Linked DNA regions of Drosophila melanogaster. The protein of the gene in region 1 interacts with the protein of each later gene in a pairwise test. Each region holds a gene or a part of one and is shown in the gene's direction. Other genes may lie near its edges. The genes, in order: Cpr73D, row, CG15617 and nmdyn-D7.

Region 1 (6,741 bases):
GGGTGAGCTAAAGTGGGGGTTTAGCCAATTGTTTCTTGGGCTGCCATTGAACTTAATTGAGCATGCCTTATGCATTTCATTAACACGAGAAGAAAAGCGATCTACAAGTCTCGCAGAAGATTCTCCTACTTGACTTCACTTACCCCCGCAATGCGTTTGTCTTCCAGAGGCACCAGAGTGGGATGATATATACCCGAACTGGCCACATCCAAACGTCGGATATTCCTCATCAATCTGGCCACGTGGCGCTGTGGTTCGGGTTCATCGTAGACTATGTACTCGTACTGGCTGATGTTGGGGGAATGATCAAGGGAAGGTGCCTCGGGCACAGAAGGCCAAATGAAGTCGATGGAGTCATCGTTCGGATCGATGGGTGGCTGATTTTGTGACACCTGCTCCTTGAGTATCTCATAGGCCTCTAAATGGGGACCAAAACCGTATAGTATTTAATATGGCTTAACTAATTTGAAGGCCCACCATTAACCAACTTGTTGCGGACCTCATCCTGGCACTCCCTTATGACCGACTCGACTTTCCTGGCCGTTCTGGGTGGATTCAAGCACTTGGCCTTTTTCGTCTCGAAGCGAATTAGATATTCCACAGCGTCGATCGATGTGATAACCATGCACGAGATGCATAAAAGTTGTGTAATCCTCATGGTTGCGATTAATTGGAGTCTCCACGCCGATCCGAACGCCTGGGCCGCTGTCAAATGAATGTCCCCCGAAGAAATGGACGCGATGAAATCGAAAGCATTTTCACTTTTCCAAGCCAACTTGGCAGGATGGCCCACACAGGCCACTTATGAATTTCCAGTTTAGCTATACTTTTTTTTTCTCATTTTAGTTTTGCTCTTTGGGTATGTGGTTCAATGGCAAACAGCAATACTCCAAGTGCAACTGCGACTGCCACAACTGGTTGCACATTTCCCATGCGTGCAGTCCGTTAGAAACTTGTCCTTAAAGCTCGACCACATGCCTATGAACATGGTCATTGGCAGCGGCCATATATCATTGCTATACCATATCTCCATGGCTCTCCGATCGCGATCGCATTGGGTTTCGTTCCATTGTCTCTGCGGTTGTGCGATTACAAAGCGCTTATGCTCGGAAAGCACTCGCTCCGATTGAGCGCACAATTAACCAATTGGTGAACTCTTCCGCCTTCTGACCAATTTGCATATGGCCAAAAAACAACGGCTATAAAGATTATCAAAGGCGGTAGTCTATGTGGATGTAAATATGGGCTAGCCAGAACTATAAACTATAACCAGAATCAAAGGCAACCAAGCGGGGCGGTCTAATCAGAGGGCCTGACATATCCCCAGCACATCCCCATCTAGAACCCAGAACAATGGCCAATAACTGTACTTGGAAGTGGCCAGTAGCGTCGCCACGCTAATTATGGCTCATTATAATGGCCAAGATTCAAGAGCCAAGATCCTAGGCGGAAATTGTCATAAAGTTCTGTGGTCTCCTCCAGCCGACGGGTAATTGCCTTTAATTGCATACCTGGCCAAAAATTGCTGCTAAGACACTGACCTAGACTCGCTCTGGATCGAACTTGTAATAAGCTCCGGCTAACGGAAAACTCAAAATGGAAAATTGATTCCCCAGCGATGAAGTTCAATGTTCAGAGTTTTGCGATTTGTAAGCTAAAGAGAGCGGGGCGGGGGGATGGTGCATTGTCAACAGGAAGAGAGCTCCAGGTTGCAACTTCGGGGAACAAGAACAACGTGAGCTAATTGACAGACAGCTACACAGGCACGATTTTCCATTTTCCGCTGGCCATTTCCCGCGGGTTTTAAGCCCCTTCCCCCACCCTCCTAAAGTGGCGAACAAGGAGCCATAAAATAGGAGAAACACAGCAGCAGCTGCAACAACACTTGCGTGTCCATCATTAGAACGAATTCTCTCACCTGAGCCCCGCGCCCACTTTCCGCCTTTTCTTGTAACGCAATTTGCACACAAATGCTGCTGTTTCATCTTCGTGGCTTTGGCTCTTTTTGGTGGGTGGTCAGGTGAGACAAGCAGCACCACTAGCTCCACTAGCACCACCATATGACGCCGCACGAACCGCTCGCTGAGCCGCCTGAGAATCGTATTTAAATACGAAGGTCTAACGCTGGATCGCATCAGTCGTCGCCGTCGCGTTGTTCTAGCCGCTAGCTCCTCTCGAAGATCGCAAACCAAGTCGGAGTTTAAGACGGGTTCCAAGATCGGATTGGCAGACGATCGAATCGAATCGGATTTGTTGGGGGAATATAAGTTTATGTGGTGACTGTGCACCTGGAACAGGATGCCCGTTTGATACTTGTTTCATCTCTCGATTGGATTAAAACGAATGCGATTTGAATGATGTGGCATCTGCATCGGCACGCGAATTCCCTTTTGCTTCTCTGCGCAGTTTTAGGATACTTTTCGGATCCTGCGAGAGCCGAAATCGAGTACAATACCATCAGCGAGGATGGATCTTTTCAGTTTCGGTACATAGATGTGTGACAAACTATAGTGAACATTTTTAAAGGATATTAAGCACTGAAAAAAAAATTGGCATTATGGATTAAATGGATATGCATTTAATTGCAAATGCAACACCCTGTGACTCAAGAAATTTGATGAATAGTTTTTGTTACAATTGCAAAATTTTGAATTTAGTAAAATTTTCAATTTACCTAAAAATGCTTTAAAAGGCAGGATATTTTGACAGAAATTAGTAATTTCCTTCGTAATACGATTATCATAATACCTACATCGACTAAGATTTTTAATAGGATTTTAAAACTTCACAATAAAATTAATTCAGATAACATTGAAATTAATATTTTTCAATTTTCAACTCATTGCATTAGTCATCACAATAAAAAAACTTAACCAAATAACATAATTTACATTAAATAGAATAGAACTTTCATTGTCGTCCAATTTCCTTTTAAAAAAAGGATTAAAAGTAGTTAGTCGCTGAAAATAAGAAATAACCTTCCCCAATTGCGTACAAACTTAGCTGTTTGGTAGAATAATAAACCTTTTGAAAAGAGAACAACTCAATTACAGTTTTTTAGCAGCCATGGGTCATAAATCTAACAAATCATCTAATCGGTCAATGATGTCTGCTACCTTACCATCACCATTACACCCGAGAAAATTTGAGATTTTTAGCACCTCTTTAACGCCTCAACGTTTTGCAACCACAACAATAACACGCTTCCGACCATCTTTCCCTCTCCATTTCGCACGCATGGGGCAACGCAATTACTTCTGTTTCGATGGATCCCACCTGGCATGGATAATGGATATGCTGCTGCTGGTACTGCTACTGCTACTGCTTCCAATCGGCCAAAAGACATGCAAATGATGACATTGGCGGCTACTATCACAGCGCCTCGGGCACTCCGGACAACACGGTGCGAGGTCGCTACGGTTCGCGGAGTCCGGCGAGCGGGCAGATCGAGGAGACGGTCTACACAGCCGGACCACGTGGGTGAGTAATCGAAGACGGTAGCCAAGACTAGTGGGTAAAGTGCGCTGGTGCACTGCAAGAAAATAGTATCATTTTAGAGTGCATATGTGTGGAGAAAAATGCATTTAAAATTGATGATGTCAAAATATGCGTAAAAGAAAAACATAATTTTTAAAATATATGTATTTCAAATGTTTTTAAAAATAATTAGGCAACGATAAGTTCTGTGGGTATACATGACTCGAAGGTAACTTCCTTGAGGAAGGTCGGCGGTTTTTTCCTGAGTGTATTGGCCGCTGAGGAAGTGGCAGCACAAAGTGAGTTATCTCCCCTCGATGTCAGAGTTGAGCTCATATATCAGCGGTTGGCGGCAGGCGGCGGCCACTGAAGCGAAACCCAAACAAACGGAGGGGGATCCATGGAGTTGGAGCCGTTCTAACACATTGGACTGCTTTTTCTGGCGTTGCCTAAACGTTTTTCCATTACCGCTTCGGCGCTACTGTTGTTTTTTGCAATCTCCGGTAAATCGGGGGAAACAAAAAGCTGTTAACAAATTGACTGGCCTGAGAGATTCGAGCCAAAAAAAAAAGAGGAATGGATTGTAGATGGCAGATGCTCAACGATAGCGATGATTCTGAATGGGATCGTTCCCCGAGATGTGTAGTAATCGAAGTAATGGCGTGCCGGGCTAAGATCGAATCTATATTCAAAATTGCAGTGCAAGTCCGCTTCCGCTGAAAGGGTTTACCCAATCCCCACTCATTGTGTCGGTAGCTAATTAATCTCCCTCTATTTCCCACATAGATTTCGCGTGAACGGACCGAAAATCCATCGGAAAATGGACCTGGCTCAGTATCCGGTACTGCCGCGGGGAAGTCCGGACGATCCGCTGGCCGATCCCTTCGACGATCCATCCTACAGCTTTAGTTTTCGCACTCCGGATCAGTCGCGCAGCGAGGAGAATGATTCCGGGAATAGGATAAGAGGCGAGTTTAGCGAGTATGGTACTTAAGAGTATATTAACTGATTCTATCCCAGGTCTGTACTCCTATTTGGACGACGTGGGCGAGCGGCACAGTGTTCGTTATGCAGCTGGAGCCGGAACCGGATTCGAGATCTCCAACGCTGTGCCGGACAGCCCATCTGTTGTGGCGTACTCCAGTCCTCTGTACACGTCCCATCCCAAAGCACGCGGCAAGATGTCTGTGCAAAGGGGGCCGGCTGGAAGCTATAAGCTGATCGCCTCAGGTTCGGATCACCGACGGGCAGAAAGTCGAGCACCCGATGGCCTGGTGCGAGGAACCTACTCCTTCCTGGACGACAAGGGCGTGCAGCGGACAGTGGAGTATATAGCTGGAGCAGGAATTGGCTACCGGGTGGTGCAAAATCGGATTGGTCCTGGAACCCATAACAATCCCTCTGTGGCTGATTTTCGTTTGACAGATCCAGATTTCCGACTGGCTAATGATTTTGGCAGGGGTGCTGGTGGTGGCTTAGGTCCGAAGGGAGGTGGTGGTGGATCAGGTGGGGGAAGTGTTTCGGTAGGAGCTTCGGGGCCAAGTGGTGGTGCAGGTGGAGCGGGAAGGGGCCGTACTCCAAGCAGACCCGGAGGCAAAGATTACCTAAAGCCGGCTGATGGAGCAAGAGATAGGAATCGTGGAGATGGTGATGCTGGGGCAGCTGATGAAAATCTGGGACACCATGCTGATGACCAAGGGGATGACATTGGGCTTGGCAGCAGCTCCTCTGGTTCCACCAACTTTAATGGCAAAGAAGACAGAAGAGGGTTCCCTGCGGGTAGTCCGCAACGGGGCAGTACTAGATACGATGCCGGAGGTGACAGCTCTCAGAGAGGTGGTTCAGGTAGCTCCACGAGAAACAATGTTAGTGGGTCCCGAAACAGAAACCGATTCGGCGGCGTTGGTGGAGTAAGTGTCTCCTCTGAGCGGGGAGCAGGAAGGGGAGGTGCTGCCGGTGGTGGAAGCAGTCGTCGAGGAGGTGGAGCTGGAGCCTCCAGGGAAGGCGACTCCGGCCTGGGCTACCTGCCGCCCACAGGTGGATCGGGCACCAGTGCCATGAGCGGACCCGGGGACAATTACCACCTCAACGATGACGATGTGGGCAGTTCACTGCCTCCTCTGGTCACCGCCAACCACCGAATTCTAGAGATCGACAGGGATCGGGAGTGGGTGCAGCGACACCGCGACTCCACCGTCATCAAGAACGTGGGTAAATGGTACGTGGGCCTGCCGCCTGGTCAAAGTGTGCGTGCCCATGTCCAGAACATCGACATAATACCCTTGGGCGGAAGGATCGGACTTTCGCCGTCGGAGGCACTGCGTCAGGATGAGATCGCCGAGCTGAATGCCTCAAGGGAGCACTAAGCACCCATTGGATCTGTAGATCTGTAGTTTGTAGTGCGTAGCTCTAAGTGATCAGTGTTGAGTAACCGAAACTGGGTTGACTCCACATGGAAACTAAAACAGTATTTAAAGCGGAATACATTTTTTGCCTGTATCTGTATCTCAAACTGTATCTGTATCTCTAGCGAATAGTTATTTGATATCCGTGGATCCGGGTATAAGCAGGTTAATCTGCACATTGCGGTTTCCTTGAATCCACATATAACCCCATGACTTAGCATGCTCGGAGTTTAGTTGTTTCTGAGACTTGAACATGATGTTGGTGCTTTTCATTGCTTCGCTGATAGTTTCCTGTGCTCAAGGAGCGCAAGTGTATATGCAGTTCAATGGACAAGGATACTCCTACAACACGGATGGCGATAGATTGGATAGGAGTGTCGTTAAGCCTAGTTTTGGGGCATCTTCTCTGGATTCCTTTGGTCCGCTGAACTTTGTGCATCAATCTCTGAGGACAAGACAGAATCCACTTTCCCGGATTTCCTACAATACACAGGATAACCTAGCAGTGGCAACATCTTCGCTGAGTGCGGGCTACCAATTAGCATCGACCAACCACCTGAAGCACCGGCAAAGCCAGCAAAACTTTGATTTCAGCACCGACCAGATGTCGCATGCCCAGCACACCGATGAGGCGGGAAATGTTTTGGGCAAGTACTCCTACTACGATGAGGCTGGCTACCATGAGCTGAGCTACAAGGCGGGCGCCGGCATCGGATTCGTGGTCATGGGTGGCAATTTGGCCAAGGCCACCACCGCCGCTGAACCGCACTCGGAAATCGAAATCGGAAACGGAATCCAAACAAATGCCTTGACTAGCCTGCAAGAGTTGCATAAATATCGTGGCTACACGTAAATAAAA
Region 2 (8,758 bases), on another chromosome or scaffold:
CAGTTATCAAGATTATAGGAGACCTTATCGCTGATGACCACTAGCCATTCGTTAAATCAACTGGGATCGAAATTCCCACACGATCTATCAGTCTTGGCGAATCAAACCATTTTGCAGGCAAAAATAAACAGTCATAAATTAGGCAGCCAAATCTAGGAATCCTTATCAAGTTCCTGGGGGGCATATAAAAGGCACGGGCGGCCAAGTCAGCGGTCAAAGCACCTGCACCTGTGGAATACAAAATGTTGGTGGTTCAGCTAATTGCGGTTTTTTTAAGTCTGGGCTTGGCTAATGCCCTGCCTGCGGATACGGGGCGCGCCAGTTCGGTGACAACTGTAAGTTTTAGGATGCCATGTTCTTTGGCACCCAAAAGTCCTTACTAACCACTATATTGCTCTACTTTCCAGGTCACCATTGTTAGGGGACACGGTTACGAAATCGAGGAGCACGAGGTGCAGACCTCGGATGGTTACATCCTCACAATGCACCGCATACCGTACTCGAAGAACACTGGGTACGATGGGCCACGCCCTGTTGTCTTCCTTATGCACGGTCTGTTGTGTTCCTCCTCGGATTGGGTTCTTGCTGGACCTCACAGTGGGCTGGCATACCTGCTGTCCGAAGCGGGCTACGATGTGTGGATGGGTAATGCCAGAGGCAACACCTACTCCAAAAGACACGCCAGCAAGTCGCCGCTGCTGCAGCCCTTCTGGAATTTTGAGTGGCACGATATCGGAATCTATGATCTGCCCGCTATGATGGATTACGTCCTTTACTGGACAAATGTGACTCAACTTACGTATGTGGGTCACTCTCAAGGAACCACATCCTTTTTTGTGCTCAACTCTATGATTCCGCGCTTCAAGAGTCGCATTCGATCTGCTCATTTGCTCGCTCCTGTGGCCTGGATGGAGCATATGGAGAGTCCTTTGGCCACGGTCGGTGGACCACTGCTTGGTCAGCCCAATGCCTTCGTCGAGCTCTTCGGCAGCGCCGAATTTTTGCCAAATACACAGCTAATGAACCTGTTCGGGGCTCTCCTCTGCAGCGATGAGGCCATTTCACAGTTCATGTGCACCAACACCCTATTCCTGCTGGGCGGCTGGAACTCGCCATATATCAACGAGACCCTGCTCCCAGATATTATGGCCACCACTCCGGCGGGATGCTCAGTAAATCAGATCTTCCACTACCTGCAGGAGTACAATTCCGGATACTTCCGGCAATTCGACTACGGATCTACGCGCAACAAGAAGGAGTACAGCAGCAAGACCCCGCCGGAGTACGATGTGGAGGGCATCGATGTGCCCACCTATCTCTATTACTCTGACAACGACTACTTTGCTAGTCTGATTGACGTGGATCGCCTTAGGTATACCATGAACCCGAGCGCCCTGAAAAGCGCATATCGCATGCCGGAAGAAAAGTGGAATCATATCGACTTTCTGTGGGGACTGAATATTAAAGAAATTCTTTATGATCGGGTAATTAACGACATAAATAATGCATAAATGTGCGCTGGAAATAAAAAAAAGCGACATACGTTTTTGTGACATTGTGATAAAAAAAGTTCCATTGGTCACCACTTCAACGGGGGCTTTTGGTAGCTAATGAACCGATAATATACGAGTGGTCATAAATTCAAATTGATTTGGTGACACTTCACGGTGACTGAACAACGCAAAACGAACTAGCCTGCTAACATTTTTTGCCTTATAAGTGCACCTGCTAAATACAATGGATTATATTAAGTGTAATATAATAAAATATAAGCTGTACTAGATATTTTTATTTTATTTGCTGATTGTGTACTGTTGAGAAATATTTTGCACTCTTAGTTTGAATTGCGCGCCAACTTTCAGGGATGAAGCATCTTGTAAAATCATCGATAGACTTTCAGCGTTTTTTGTGGTAGTCGATAGTCCGCAACATACTGATCATAGTAAAAAATATCTGTAATGTATATTTAGGTGGGAAAATATATTCATGGCATTTATTTATACGTTAAATCAATTCTTGTTATGATATTCCTTAATTGTAAAAAAATTTTATTCTTGTTCTTATTAGCAGAATATAAAATTGACCAGTTTACGTTAACACTTTTTTTTAAATACAAAAATTTGATTTATATTTGTTTATATTTTAACGAACCGATGTGTGGTGCACCACTGTGCGTGTGTCACGACAATACCCAAGCCGATATTATCGATGTTTTCATCGATGTTATTTACTCGAGCAGGTACATCCACGCAAGGAAAGCTAATTCGAGCGAAAAAAAATTTACTTAGCTCTTAATATTTTTAAAAACAACGCCCTCGCTGGGCCAGTGGTCGGTTAACTAGTTAGCTGTAAGATGACGCGCGTAACGAGAAGTGAAATCTCCCTGGACATGGAGTTCTGGGTGGAGGAGCTGTCGCCGGCACAATTGGCGTACTACGAGAAGATTACTAACGAGCACAACGCGGTGAAGGGTGCACTAAAGAACGCGGTTAGCGCCAACGAGGGCAAGGAGCTGTTTAACGGCCAGGTGTTCCAGGCCTACTCCTTTAAGGGCAAAGTGCTGCAGGAGCTCAAGGAGGCTACGCTGCCCAAAAAACCACCCAAGCCGACGGACTCTCCCTCAACACCCGCCGCCCAAAGCGGTGGCACAGGGCGGGGTCGTGGCCGCCCACCACGACAACCATCCAACATCGCCTACCTGGAGTCCTCCGATGAGGGAGACGACGATATGCCGCTGGCCAAGCGACTGGCGCTGTCTGCAGGCAAAAAAGCAGTGGCCGTGGCCAATGCATCTTCCTCGTTCACCCCGAAATCCAGTAAGAAGGCTGCATCCGCTGCTAGTGGAGGATCTTCTTCACCGGTACCTAAGAGCAGTGGAAAACTATTTAAGGAATCCAAACCGGACATCGAATCGCCGCCGAAGAACTACCGCCCCGCCGAGGTTAATTCGGTGGGCGGTCTGGTGGTGGGCAGCACCGACGAAAGCAAGGATAGCAAAGACGGCAAGGATGGCAAGGATAACAAGATGCAAGGAAAGACATATCCATCTCTGGTGGTGCTAGCAAAGCCTTTTCTCAAGATCAAAGACATGGCTGCCACCCGCAGCAAGCTGGACTCGAAGGTTAAGCTGGTGCTCATGCTTACGCCCAATAAATTCTGCGAGTGGCTGCTCCAGGAGGGATTGCTACGCGCTCAACAGCATTGCATAAACCATCGCAACAACGAGCTCAAATTGGGTAAGAGATATATGATCAACTGAATTCGTTTATTAATGTATTTATATTTAGGAATTTATTCGGATGTGACCAAGTTTCCCTACACTGGTGGCTATGTGTGGATCAGCGAATGTTGCCCCTACCGCTTCGTCTCCGTGTTCAACAATTCCATTTTCGAAGGAGCTCAGCACCCACCCACATTCCTGTTGAAGTTAATTTACCACTGGGCTTGCCAGACCAGTATTCAAAATGTGGTGCAGTGGGTTAAGGTGGACAGTGTTTATATCAAAGGAATCTACACCTGGCTTAGAGCCATTTGCACTTTGGCAGTGCATCAAAAATGCAAGAAGCTGGGCGGTCCCGGCAAGTTTGTGGAGGTGGGTGTTATTTCCCTAGGAACCACATCCCAAGATGGCTCCCAGCGACAAGTGAAAGTTGAGGTTCTGGGCGTCTATGATTATGCGGAGAAGTCCATCCGACTGCGGGCTGTAGAGCCAATCACCGATGGTGATCGTAACTACAAAAAGCGATTCCAGGCCATTCTTGAGCCACTGTCGCGCTGGGTGCACAAGGACAGCACCATTTGTATAGACTTGACTGTCGACAAGATCACCCTCTTCAGCATGGGATTCAAAAATATTGTCCAAGCAGCTGCCACTGACAACACAGCCAAGCACAACAACTCAGCGGTAATGGAATATTTGCGACGGATTGTGCCGCGCATGTTCCAGAACACCCTATCGTTGCTATCTCGCCAGATGATTCAACAATTCCTCGACGAGTTGGTATGGCGAGAGTCCTTTGGTACATATGCCTTGCAGGCATTCAACAATATCATAATACACATTGCCGAGCAGACAAGAGTAACCACCAATGAGACAATCACTCAGCGTCTGTATCAGGTAAGCAGAATCGAAAAATTTTTATTAGCGATTAGCCTTTAATAGCTCTTTCGTTTAGGTGGCAACCAATCCGTTCAAGGACTGGAGTATTTTGCCGGCCAACTACAAGGAGACACCTGCCAATGCTGCTCCCAAGCGCCTCAAGAAACGTTAGTACTATCGTACTTTTGTAGCAAGTTTTTATTTAGGCCGTGAATAGAATAGTGCGTTATGATAATCTGTTAAGTGCCTGCGTTTCTCACTCCAAACTGAAATGTTTTCGTTTTGTTTGATTAGTTTTGGTTAATCGAACCCAACAGCTGAGCTCAGGTCCACTTATTGTGTTATGTGAATTGTGAATTTATATAATCTATATAGGTGAAATGTATCATTGATATATTCACATATGTACAATTTAAGCATTACTTCCTGACATTTCTCGTGTCTAATTATTTTAAAACAACCCCATTAGAGAAACCATAAATAAACTTGCAAGAAATTTAATAACTGTTTTTATTTGATTTCCTTTTTCATTTGGAGTGATAAAACGCAAGAAAGAATTTACTAATTAAATTGATTGGACCCATTCCACCAGATTCAACAAAAATGGACAAATATGTAATGTTTAAGTTTGTATGTTGAGATTACATCTTTTTAAGTTAACATCTTCAATTGCAGCTATCAACGATGCTGACTACGTTGTTTCTAACAAGATTCCCAAGAAGGAAAAGGATCGTGATATAGCATCATCTGGAGTCAAGCGCGGCCGTCCACCGAATGCATTAGGCACCCCACCACCTCAATTGCCAATTAAAAAGGGTCCAGGTCGGCCGCCGGGCAGTACCAACCAGACAAAAGGAGACAGAGCAACGACCTCGTCATCTAAATCACTGTCTAAATCTCTGATAGCTAAAGGCCTTGGTAAAAAACCGAAAGAAAAAGATGAAAAGATTCCAATGGTCATTAAGAAAGAAGAGGATGATCTAAGGGGCTTGGAGGAGCTGTACTATGGAATAAGTGATGGTACGGACGAGTACCACGAGATCTTTCCATATAGCACACCCCGTACGGTTCACAACGAACTGGCCAAGACCGTGGAGTGTCCAATCTGCCTGAACGGCGACTCCTTCGATTCCAATGAGAAACTCCAAACGCATTTAGTATCGCATATTTCGCCAGAGGGTAAGCAGCACCAGTTCCAGTGCCTTTTTTGCTTGGAGAAGCATCCCACCGAGTCGGTTTTGGCCAAACACAACCAGATCATGCATCCAACTGAGACAAAAACGGAGGGTTCACCCTCGTACTACTGCCTAATATGCCAGCAGCGTCACAATTCCCTGCATCTGTTGACGGCTCATTTGCAGAAGGTCCACAGCACCCTGGAACTACCATATTGGTGTCACTCCTGCGGCTATCGATCATCTTCGCACCGCGATTTGGTCAGGCATTTTTATGACGACCACAAGCATCAAAACTTTTTACAGTGCCCCTATTGCTTGGATGTAAGTAGCTGTCATGGTAAAGTAATCTTGTAAAGTTCTCTCTATTAAAAACTGATTCTTTTTAGATTTTCTACTTCTCAAAGCTTGGCGTCGTTAACCAGCTGCGCATAGAACATTACTTCATGCATTTGGACGAGCACATCAACAAGCGTGATCCCTCGCTGCGCTGCCAGAAATGCTCGCTATCCTTCCTCGAGAAGGGGGATCTAAAGCAGCACGCAGTGCAGCATCATGTGAGCATGACTAAGACCAATAGACCGGTGCGTCTCTTACTCAACAACTCGATGTTGATACCACCGCCAAAGATTCGCACCCATCACCGCGAGCAGCCGCCGTTCTCCACCTACAAGCGGCCAGTATTCTTTGCTTTTCTGGAGGGTAAGACCTGTGCCGAGTGCAACACCGATTTCGCCAGCGAGGAGACACATTACACGTAAGTTCAAAAATATTTTATTTACCTAAGCAATAAATCGCCATGGATAAAGGTGCCAGTATTCACAAGAGAAAACCAGAGCTGACAGTATCCAACCAATTCCCAAGACACACCAGCCCAGTCTCAAAGTATCCACATCGATACTTTGATAGCCCAGGACGTTATCTACAAACCTAACGTATCCAGCACGCATGGCATCGTTAAAGTCGGAAACTACCCAGTGATTCAGCAGTCCAGTATCCTGAATCTTCAATATGAAATGGTTAAGGGATGTCTCCAAGTGGCTGTCAACGCGCATTGGATAGCCAATATGTGGAGATCCCAAGCAAGCAGATGAAAAGCGAAAAATCGGCTTAAAGGCATATTGCTGTTGCATGGCAAAAAACTGCCAACGTTCTTCTGTAAAAGGGTACGCGAAGCTGCGATTAAAACTCAGCAAAGCGGACACCTGTTCACTGGCATTTACAGGCACCAAAAGCCGAGATACTTTTTCCACTAATCGAGGTTCAACATGGCGCAGAAATGTGTTAATTTCATACTCCTTGACGAGCACCCTTTGCTGCTGGTGGACAAGCTGATCCATGCTATTTACTTGCTCGCCCACTACTATGGTTGTGAAGAAGCTGTCCAACTCAATGTTGTACCAACTTGTGGACATGAATCCCAGGACTGAAAGTTGTAGGAAAATAATCAAATGGCGCCATGTTGGTCTGTAAATTGTTATAGGGGGGCTGATAAAAAGTATCTTGCTTATCGCATCTAGAAAATTCAATCCCAAGCGTTGCGGCCAAGAACTTTTATTGAGTTTCGGGCTTATGCAATAGAGAATTCCAGTGATGTAGAAAACTGCGAATAACAGAATATACCAGCTGTACAATTGGAATGGTCGCAATAGGTACATGTGCCTTGGAATCTCATTTCTCATGGGCACAATCAAGCAGTTTGGATATATTAGTAAGGGGTAACTCTTGGTTGCTGTTGGGGGTGTGAAAACGTACGGGTGCAAAGAGATTTCCAATTGACCGTCTATAATCAACTGCACAATGTGGTTCATATTCACACTAGTTGTTGGGTCTAGATTCTCATCTGGATTGGTCAAACGCAGCGAGGCATTATAGTGATCCAAATATTCCACGAATGTGCGATATGCGTATCCCAGCACCTTTCTGCTCTTCGTTAATGGATCGTGCACATGAAACACTCTCGGAATATCATTTTCCGCCGGAGTGGATACTACATATCCATGGAAATTCCTTGCTGCATGTGGAAATAGCGGTTCCGTATGAATATCGAGTTTGAAAAAACGCATCGCCGGATACGGAGTGTAGGAATAAAGCTGATCCCTTTGCAGGACAAGAACGTTGAGGAATTGATATTGCCATAAGGCGTTGAATATTGATTTAATAGCACCTTGCGAGCCACTTCTTTGATTACGCAGAATGATGATCAATCGAATGCGACGGAGTTTTCGTAGATTTCTATCCAGAGTAAGCCACATGATATCATGTTTATCATGACAAAAGAACAAAGCTATGCCATTGTATCTAGTGATTTTAAAATGACCAAGGGGTCTTATATGTTCAGGTTGGAGAAATAAATTCATTGTCAAGCTAGTAACTCCCATTGTTTGATGGAGCCAAATAATCAAGTCGTTGAGGTCGCCTCCTTGCGTATTATGTCCGACGAATATTGGTGTATTTATCCACGGCTCCCGTGTAGAGATGAGACTTAGAACGGATTTCAACAATGTCACATTGTAAGCAGCGTTTGTTAGCGCCAGTAATAAAATAACGACCAATAAGGTTAACACTTTGCACATGGTGGTTGATTCAATTGTGACAAGCCAGAACCGCGGGTTGAGGTTTATAAGTCAGCAGCTAATTGATTTAATAGTGGCTGATTGATCTCTTGGGGAAAACTCATTAGAATGTGTGAGGCAATAATTTGTAATAAAAGGTTTTGGCGCTCTACGCACTCATTTAATCACTTTTTTATATTAAATCTTTTCCCAGTGGTTGGCTACACTGCGTTAAGTGCAATTATCAGACATGTTGCGAGCGAGCGCAATTCCGTCATGGCGTGGAATGTAATGGAAACTTTGTGGACGCCATGGAAGTGAATATGCCACAGGAGATGCACTGCATCTGCGGCTTTGCCACCGGCAACGGCAACAAGATGGCTCAGCACTTGGCAAATTGTGGACTTAGCACCTGCTACCCAAGTTTGGAGGCTGCCAGTGAGAATGCCGTCAAGCGTAATATGCTGGACATGTTGGGCCTGGTTCGACGCGATGGAGAAACCTCTGGTGAAGGTGCAGATATTAGCGAGACTGCTGATGATGTCGCGGATCAGAGCTCCGACATGTTGCCGCCGCAGGAGGACCATCATTTGCAGCAACACCATCAACAGGTGGGACATCAGCAACAGATGCAGGGACAGCCGAATGAACCGCAAGCGGAACTTCAACAGGAATACTTGTCGGCGCCAGTTGAGCATGAGCCCGTGCAGAATATGCCAGTACATCAGAGCATGCCGGTGCAGCAGACCGGTCCAATACAATTTGGAGAAATGGAGGCGGCCCCAGTTTTGCTGGATACCCAGCAGCAGGTACAACCCACCCCGGATTATGCTCAAGTTTCGGTGGTGCAACAGCACCAACAGCAACAGCCCTACGGACTAAGCAACTACGGCCAAAGCTCTTTAGCCACGGATATCGACATGCCACTG
Region 3 (4,242 bases), on another chromosome or scaffold:
ATGGCCCACAAAGTTGGATCAAAAGTTGCTGGAATAAGAACCCCAATGCATTTGATTAAGATCGCCTTGTTACTAAGCTTTTTGGCTGTAAGTACGTCGACCTTTAACGGGATTATTTCTTAACCATTTCGCCATTTAGTTATGCCAAAAGTCGCAAGTTCAAGCCGCCATAAGTTCGGAACTCGATCACTATCTGCGATGTTTGGAAGTGGTGACTGATGCCGGTGCCCTAATGATCGAGAACTCTATAACGGCCATAAGCCTCCTATCCGATTGCGTTGATTTTCAGCCGAAAATCAAACTAACTGGTAGCATTCTCAGATTTATTAGGGTGGCCCATCAGTTTGGCAAGAAGGCGATATACGATCGACCGGAATGTCTCGTACAAACCTTTACCACCGGAGTCGGACTGATTAGACCGATTATAGCCAAGTTTGATAGCTTGAGGTGCTTTGATGAGTAAGACAACCTACCTAGTTTGAATAAATATTCAGAATATACCGAAAGTTTGCCTGGCCAAGCAAACGGATCAGAACCATCTTAATTGTTTTATTCTCATTCTTTTAAAATTCAAATTCAACATATCACAGAACTTCCATTTGAAATTACAACCATTGTTATTTAAAAGTAATGTTTATTAACTCTACATATCAACTGGTGGTTACACGTTTTTTTATATACAAAATTCGATTTATCTTCTGGTCGTCGGCCAGGATCAGTATTAGCGTAAAAATAACTAAAATATAAATTATGTAGAACAAAAAAAATGTATAATTGTTTAAATGTCTAGTACTTACGCAGACGGAGAAAAAGCTTCATTGCTATTGAGTTAAAGGTGCATTTCAGTTAGCCGATTTATATAGCACAGTCGACATGGAATCGTGACTGCTTCATTTTTAGATAAAGACCAGAAACAATTATATGTCTGAAATGTTGCACTGGCAACGTGACTAGGTTCAAGATAGCTACGAAAACAAGAGCTCCACTTGGCCAGGTAATCCTCCACTTGCCAGCAGCACCTGCTAAGTAATTACCTCAATTCCATGGTCGAAATCCTTTTCATTGTGGCTATGAAATTCCATGACAACCAAAGCTGGCCAAGCTCAGTGATGCAAATCCCACGCAGTATGCCAGTAGTGCATAAGCTCCGACAAGCTGCTAAGTGCTTTCGGAGTAAGAGGATGAGGAGAATATGGAGTATACTAACTTTTGAAGGACGCACATCCATACCAGAATATCTGCTGTAATTAGGCAAGTTGTCGCTACTGTTTGCCTTTTGCCATTTGGCCGCTGCTCCCCCGGCAATAGCATTTTATGGGCTTTTGTTGGCGGGTTTCTCTTCCAACAACATTTTCTACCATTTTCAAAATGAATAATTCAATAGTCCGGTAGAAGCCTCTGGTTCGCGGTTCTCCCTACTTGCCAACCTCGGACCAACTCGGTTGCAGCCATAATTGAGGTCAGTGAAATCAAATAGTTCCGACCAAGTGCTTAGCACTTGCCCAGCGGTGTGTGGAGGAACTGGACTTGGAGCTGCTTGGCTGCTCCCTGGGCTCTCGCGTCGGCTGCACTTTCAGTGGCCAAAAGCGGCCATGGGATCTTCCTTGTCGTTTGGCCGGTCGCTTTGGTTTCCGTCAGCCAAAATCACTGCCACTAAAAATAGACAACAATTAAATGCAAATCAATTGAATTGATTTTCCCGTAATACACAGTAGGTAATACTTGCGAGCAACAGAGATTCTTTACTACAAAACAAATAACAATTTCAACTTGATATATTTGGTCAGAATGTGATGTTCTCTTATATTATAAATTATAAACATAATTTACAAAATGATAACAACGATCTTATTACTTAAATATTTATATTTTTTCTTTGTTTATTTTTTAGGCACTTTTCCCTGTACTTGGCACATTCATTTGGTAAACCCCTTGACATTGTCCCTGTATCCGTATCCGCTTTACTTGCCAAATTATCGGCTATAAAAGCAAGTGATCAACTCGAGCAGCGCCAGACGATAAAGTACCTTCTGTCCGTTTCAAACGGCTTGGATTCAGTTTCATCTTACCAGTTTCTAGGGGGCCACACTTACTGTTGAGTTCGCCACAATGTTCGACTCAAAGATTAGGGTGCCCAAGTACGACTCGGATGCGTTCGACAATGTCGCGTACGAGCTGCAGATGACGTACACCCTGGAGACGGATTGTAGGATAATGAGCTTTTACGACGCGATGTGGGGCATGGAGGTGACTGGCGGCATTGACCAGTTCGAGCCGCTGACCATTGTGAATGTGTCACCCACTGGCCTGGCGAAGAGAGGAGGCATGCGAGTGGGCGACGAGATCACCCAGATCAATGATGTGCCGGCCCTGGAGATGACCTTCAATGAGGCCCTGCAAATGTTCCGAAAGAATTCGCGATACGTTCGTGTCTACGTTAGGGGGTGAGTTTAACCTTAAACATTCTTAGCATCATGATTTCTTAACTCATCTGGTTCTTTAGTGATGACGATGCTCCCGGTGAGGAGGATTGGACCTGCGATTGCTGGTTTAAGCCCAGGAAACCCTGGCGTCGTGACTTCACGCCCATTCAATGGACATTCCCCTGGAACGATCGCCGCAAGCCTGTCTACAAGGAGTCCAATTGCTTCATGGTGCCCAGCAAAATGGAGGAGAAGATTCGGGCGAGACGTGCTGCCACCTCAGCTGTTCACAAAAAGGATGAGCTGGCTCCACACACTCGCTCCTTGACGCCCACTCCCAGGCCAAAGAATCAACCAGGTCCGAATCTTCTCGAGACCGTGCTCAGGCCACGTGGACCACCGCCAAGGGATTAGGAGACCAATCTAATTGGAAAGATGATGCTGACCAAGTCACAAGAAGTTGCAGGCAGCGCTGAATCCGCTGCAGTGCATCAGGACCTTCAAGGACTATACACTCAAAAGAAGGCAGACAGCTGAATATACAGTTGAAGTGCCACACAAATGCTGGGAAACTATTTCGAAAAGGGTTCTCCTGAGAACCGTGTCTTAATCCTGCCCAGAAATAAGCGGATAACTTTATTGATGGATAAGTTAAAACCATAGCTGGCAGGCATCTGTGGAAAACAGTTGCAGTGCTTTGGGTTAGAAATTTTGAAAAGAGTTCTCAAAATGCTAATCATAAATATGGTGATACGAACTCGATTATTATCCTTAAAGGATATATACTACCTCCTCTGTGTTATAGAAAAAAATATAAAATCAATCTAAAATTCCAAAAAGCTAAATTTAGCTTAATTATTTTTGTAAATAACTTTTTATCAAATCACTTAAATTTTCAAACACTATGTATAGTTACAAAAAAATACGAATAAAAAATATTTTCTGATATATGATATTTAAAGTACTCAAATTGAGGCATATTGTTAAGTAAATGGGCTTGTAATCAGTTAGTTCCACTTATTATTCGATTAAGTAATTCGTATCACCCAGATTTTATCATTTATGTTCCGTTTTGAATCTTGAAATGAAAGTTATTATTTTGCTGGCTCTCTTCAGCCAGATTATCCTGGAAATTGTTGCCTATGAGCATAAAATCGCTCACAGGAAATGTGGCGAGAACACTTTCCCAGATTGTTATTCATATTGTAACAAAGGATGCAAGGATAACCCAGTCGACTGCATTCATTACTGCGAGAAAGGATGTGGATGCATCGAAGGCTCAATAGTGAGAAACAATGGAGGATGCCGAAGAATAAAGATTTGCGACAAGGATGATGATTCCCTATCCGTTGAAAATAACGAGTTGGCTGAAAAATACGTAACATCTTATTGGGAGGACCCGGTAAATAGTAATGAAAATGAAAATCAAGCCCAAACGTTAGATGGTTTGGATGAAAACAAATCGGGTGAGATAAAAAGCATGGAACAGCCGAATGAAGTGCCGCCGGAGAGTCCTTCGGAGGATGCTCCCAATGATCCCAAGCCACCAGTAGATGCAGTGTAAAGTGTGTAAATCCAAATACAGTTTCTACTCTGCTTTAAGATTGTAACTTCCTTCCTTTTTTTAACTTGAAATAAGAACAATAATAAACGAAAATGAATTTTTTTTTGTGTAACAGTATCTTAAATGTATATACGAATTATTTTTATTAATCAAAAATAAACAAGTTTGTGGATACAGCAATTAATGAAAGTAAATTGAACTTATTCAATTGTAATTAAGAAAAGCGACTTACTCTAATTGAGCCACCGCAGGCTT
Region 4 (4,356 bases), on another chromosome or scaffold:
CTTTGTCGTTGCGGCGGCGTCCATTTTCGAACTCCCGGCCGTGAAAAACACATAATTTTCGTTCGGATGACCCTTATTCTCGCGCTCATCCGCCTGGCCAAGCGTTTGTGTCCACGGTGGGCGTGTCCTGTGCGCATCTGCATTGCGATATTTGTGGAACTAATCGGAGGGTCCAGTGTTTGAGGTTATGTTTTCGGCTGGCGGTAATGCCGTGCATTTTCGGCATGGACTTTTGCCTGGGCTTATGGTTTATGCAAATCTAGCTAGCTGGGAAGCTATTTACATAGTTCGTGCACCCGCTTCCAGAAAGTCCGACGCGAGTTGCCATGGCAACGGATCTCGCACAACGACATGAAGCTCTTATTTATGTTTATCCAACTTGATCCTCCATTGCAGCTTGATTCCGCCTCCAGTTTCCTGGGCCCAGCGCAATGACTTGATCTACGTCATCATCGATGTCGAATGCAAGGACATCGAACACAAGTATATGCCCCCATATGTAGTATGTCCATGCTCCTTGCACATCCTAATTCCATATATTTATCCCAAAACAGAGTTACGGAAAAAACCTTCACCTTCAAGGGCGTAAACGTGCTGGATCCGTCGAAGAAGTACGAGGTCACACTGAACTTCCTCCACGAGGTGGATCCCGAGAAGGTGACCAGCAAGAACATTGGCCGCTGCCTGGAATTCACAATACCCAAGAAGGCGGCCGGTCCCTACTGGTCCTCGCTGACCACGGACAAGACCAAGTTGCATTTCCTAAAAGCCAACTTTGCCAAGTGGCGCGATGAGTCCGACGACGAGGAGGGTAAGTTGACATCCTCATCCCCAAGATCTCATCCAGCAAACCCACTCATACAAACGCACTTTGCAGGTGACCAAAAAGACAACAGCATGTTTGGAAATTTCCTTAACAGCCCTGGTGGCGATTGGAACAACAAGTTCGACGATTTCAACGTCGATGACGAGGAGGAGGACTCGGATGACAACATCCCAAGTCTGTCCCAGAACGACGAGGATGACGAGGAGGGCGGCGAGGGTGATAAGGAGAAGAAGCCAGCTGCCTAGACGGTCGCTCAGATGGTGTCTCGCAATTTGGCGTAGTCGTAGCGTTAGGCGTGGCTCTTATACCATAAGTCAGCACACGATCACAACACTCACTCCTCACATACACACCAGAAAAGAAAAAGAAGAAACACTCAATCACTCATAAAACATCCACAAACGCATGCGTACATGAAACACTATTCCAATCGAAGAAAACCACATTTAATATACCTGAATATTATGCGTATTCAGAGGAGAGATGTTAACAAAAAGCAACACAAGGAACAAGATGATTTGGCGCCGACAAGGGAAACCATAAGTTTTACGCTAGAATTTAACAACCAGAGGAAAGCTACAACCAATTTATTGCAAAAATCAGTTTGCAGTTTATTATTTTTGTTTCCTGTAAATAAAGGAAATTAACAATAAAAAAAATGAAAAACTTATATTCGGCTTTTTATTTTCAATATTTTATAAGTTTACAACATTCTATAAATGTTCTAGAAATCTCTAAACTGTTAAATTCGGAATGCGCAGTCCAGCTTCTTAAAGATGTCGCAAAGAAGGCTTTATCTTTGAATAGATAGCGATTTTAAAAAGAAATTATAGGTAATGGTTAAAAATTGTTTATGGGTAATCCCCTAGAATTTGGGTTTAAAATTAACATAGGTATTTTTTTCTTTAAATTTTGCGCCCACTTAAATGAATTTTGTTATGTTGGCAACACTGTTGCTGTGACAACGCGGGAAAGAAGAAGCACAATTGAAATGCAAAGCAAACAAACAGTTATCACTCGAAATAAAGGACTTGCTGTCAAGCGATAGAACGGAAAAGCAAGGTATAAGATTCCCCTCAAAACGATACCATGAAACCCGCTGCGATTCCGGCTAGCGAGCGGCGTCTGGCCTTCGTGGCCGAGTGGTTCCATGCAGAGGCTGGAATCATACGCACCTTTCTGATCACCTACTATGTATCCGACAAGGCCGTGGAAGTGGTGAGGATTGGTAGCACAAGTTCTTCAAAGAAACACATTTAACCAAGGCCATGTTTTCCCTCAGTTCGACCAGCGCAACAAGCGCACATTTCTGCGACGCACCAAGATCCCGGAGCTGACCCAGCGCGACTTCTTTGTGGGCTCCAAGATCAATGTCTTTGGCCGGCAGTTTGACATTGTGGATTATGCTGACGACACTACGCGGACAAACCTAGCCAAATATCGCAAGAAGTATGTTCCTTCATCGACAGCTATCCACTCGCTAATCTGTAATTCCCATCTCTTTCAGGGGATTCGTTTTGCTCAAGAACAATATGTGGACGAAGCACCTGGGCAAGTTCCTAAAGACTCTGATCGACAACAAGATTAACATAAACCAGGGCATGATGGTTCAGTTCTCTCCCAAAATGGTAACTCAGTTTCTGTCCGGCAAGGACACGACGGATGTCTCCTCTTCGTGAGTAAAGATGGCATGCCAAGGAACACATCTTATCCTCTAAATTCCAGAGTCCTTATGAACGAGCTGCTGGCTGGTCCGGCCATTAGTCTGGAGCTAATCGGCGACAACGTAGTGGAGACCATCAAGGCCTGCGCCCAGTACAAGAGCACAGAGGCGGAAACACCCAGTGTGAAACTGTCGCCCAGTTTGGAAGAGCTGTTTGAAAGTGAGGAGATTCGTTATGGATTTTACTACTCTGATAACGACAACGACGTGGAAATGGACCTAAAGTTCATATCTGAGGCGAGGCACAGCATAATTAAAGAATGTGTATTCAAGAATACAACACTTGCCATCATTAAGCCGCACAGCATCAAGGATGGTCTCCTGGGAGACATCATTTCCGAAATCCTGTCGAATGGCTTTCGGTTGACAGCCATGCGCATGATTCTAATGGCCCGAATCAACTGCGAGGAGTTCTACGAAGTCTACCGCGGAGTGGTGCCCGAGTATATACCCATGGTTGCTCAGTTGGCCAGTGGAGTATGCATGTGCATGGAGATTGCTTGCGCCGATCCCGAAAAGAAAACTGATCGCGAGTTCCGCAACTTCTGTGGACCCATGGATCCGGAGATCGCCAAACTGTTGCGGCCTCACACGCTGCGCGCCAAGTTCGGCAAGTCCAAGGTGCAGAACGCCGTCCACTGCACTGATCTGCCAGATGACTCCAACCTGGAGCTGCAGTATATGTTCAAGATAATCGACTGATCTTAGTTTAGTTTTTATTTGTTTTCAGTTAAATGCATGTTTGCCTGTGTGCGTTTATCAATAAATTACAAGTGCAATGAAAATACTAGACCGTAGAAACTTCTCCTATATGCTCCCGCTGCGGCTGGTGCTGGGCACATCCCGGTCCTCCGCTTCACTGTCCATCCTCACATACATTCCGGCCTTGCGCTCCTGCAGAGTGTAATCGAAGGCCAAAAGGGCATAGAGGATGATGCAAACTAGCATTACCACCGCATAGAAGAAGTACTCGGCCATCTGTGAGCTAAGCATACCCAGCTCGGTGACCAGAACCACGATCAGATTGCCGAAAGCATTATTTAGAAACCAGGCTGCCGTGACCACCGACTTCATAGAGGTCGGTGCTTGGGTGAAGGCGAACTGGAGACCCGGAATGGAAAGCAGTAATTCGCCCATCATGAGCAGCAGGAACTGGGGCAGTTGCCAAGCTATATTCACTGTTTGGGGCGGGGAATTCTTCGAATATTTCGGGTTAATAAACGATCAGGTGAGGTATCTTATTATTCCTGCTTACCTTTATTCGTTCCTGCAAGGCTCCTGCACAGAAAAAGGCGCCGGCGGAGAAGATCCCACCCACAGTCACACTATGGAGCGGCTGGAGCTCCCAGTTGAAGTAGCGGCGCAGCAAGGGCACTGTTATATACTGCCATAGAGGGATGAGCATGAACAGAAAGATGGGTCCCACGGCCTTGGCCTGATCCGGCTGGATGGTCACGCCCATTAATGTGGTATTCATCTGGGTGGCCTGGAATGTCCAGCTGGAATCCTGTTGCGCCAGCAGAGCAAAGTAGAAGGGCAGTGGGATAAACAGCTTGGATATCTAAAAGAAACGAAATTATGAAGTTGAAAGAATCTTCATTATAACACAAGTATAACTGACCCTCAAAACTCTGGACACATCATTGACGAAACCCATGTCGTAGGCTACAACTGCATTGTGTAGCCAGTAGTTGGAGCGCTTTGTCGACTTGCGACGTCGCCACTTCTCCACGAGAGCGGTCTTTATGCAGCCGCAGAACTTGAAGAGTATGTTGTCATCGGACAGCTTTTCGGACTTGTAGAACCA

Evidence for each region.
Region 2: the proteins of Cpr73D (region 1) and row interact in a two-hybrid assay, tested with the Drosophila melanogaster proteins (one large-scale study listed by BioGRID).
Region 3: the proteins of Cpr73D (region 1) and CG15617 interact in a two-hybrid assay, tested with the Drosophila melanogaster proteins (one large-scale study listed by BioGRID).
Region 4: the proteins of Cpr73D (region 1) and nmdyn-D7 interact in a two-hybrid assay, tested with the Drosophila melanogaster proteins (one large-scale study listed by BioGRID).

What each region holds. Positions count from the first base shown.
Region 1 is NT_037436.4:16,938,340-16,945,080, reverse strand, and holds Cpr73D (cuticular protein 73D), read left to right. Parts: upstream 1-2,131; 5' UTR 2,132-2,357; coding exon 2,358-2,485; intron 2,486-3,342; coding exon 3,343-3,480; intron 3,481-4,263; coding exon 4,264-4,445; intron 4,446-4,497; coding exon 4,498-5,843; 3' UTR 5,844-5,981; downstream 5,982-6,741. Other genes in the region: Obp73a (Odorant-binding protein 73a), read right to left, coding at 144-418, 478-658; CG13022 (uncharacterized protein), read left to right, coding at 6,139-6,735.
Region 2 is NT_033778.4:15,207,085-15,215,842, reverse strand, and holds the start of row (relative of woc), read left to right. Parts: upstream 1-2,208; 5' UTR 2,209-2,353; coding exon 2,354-3,236; intron 3,237-3,287; coding exon 3,288-4,117; intron 4,118-4,175; coding exon 4,176-4,266; coding exon of another isoform or gene 4,267-4,271; exon of another isoform or gene 4,272-4,598; intron 4,599-4,774; coding exon 4,775-5,598; intron 5,599-5,663; coding exon 5,664-6,031; intron 6,032-6,056; coding exon of another isoform or gene 6,057-7,850; intron 7,851-8,043; coding exon 8,044-8,758. Other genes in the region: CG8093 (uncharacterized protein), read left to right, coding at 243-335, 408-1,511; Ir51b (ionotropic receptor 51b), read right to left, coding at 6,057-7,850.
Region 3 is NT_033778.4:16,744,351-16,748,592, reverse strand, and holds CG15617 (uncharacterized protein), read left to right. Parts: upstream 1-2,013; 5' UTR 2,014-2,109; coding exon 2,110-2,444; intron 2,445-2,503; coding exon 2,504-2,837; 3' UTR 2,838-3,370; downstream 3,371-4,242. Other genes in the region: Acp53C14a (accessory gland protein 53C14a), read left to right, coding at 46-87, 140-463; Sfp53D (seminal fluid protein 53D), read left to right, coding at 3,508-3,987.
Region 4 is NT_033777.3:9,678,166-9,682,521, forward strand, and holds nmdyn-D7 (nmdyn-D7), read left to right. Parts: upstream 1-1,773; 5' UTR 1,774-1,915; coding exon 1,916-2,044; intron 2,045-2,108; coding exon 2,109-2,275; intron 2,276-2,333; coding exon 2,334-2,501; intron 2,502-2,551; coding exon 2,552-3,251; 3' UTR 3,252-3,337; downstream 3,338-4,356. Other genes in the region: p23, read left to right, coding at 397-483, 555-811, 878-1,071; CG9444 (uncharacterized protein), read right to left, coding at 3,357-3,746, 3,805-4,110, 4,171-4,356.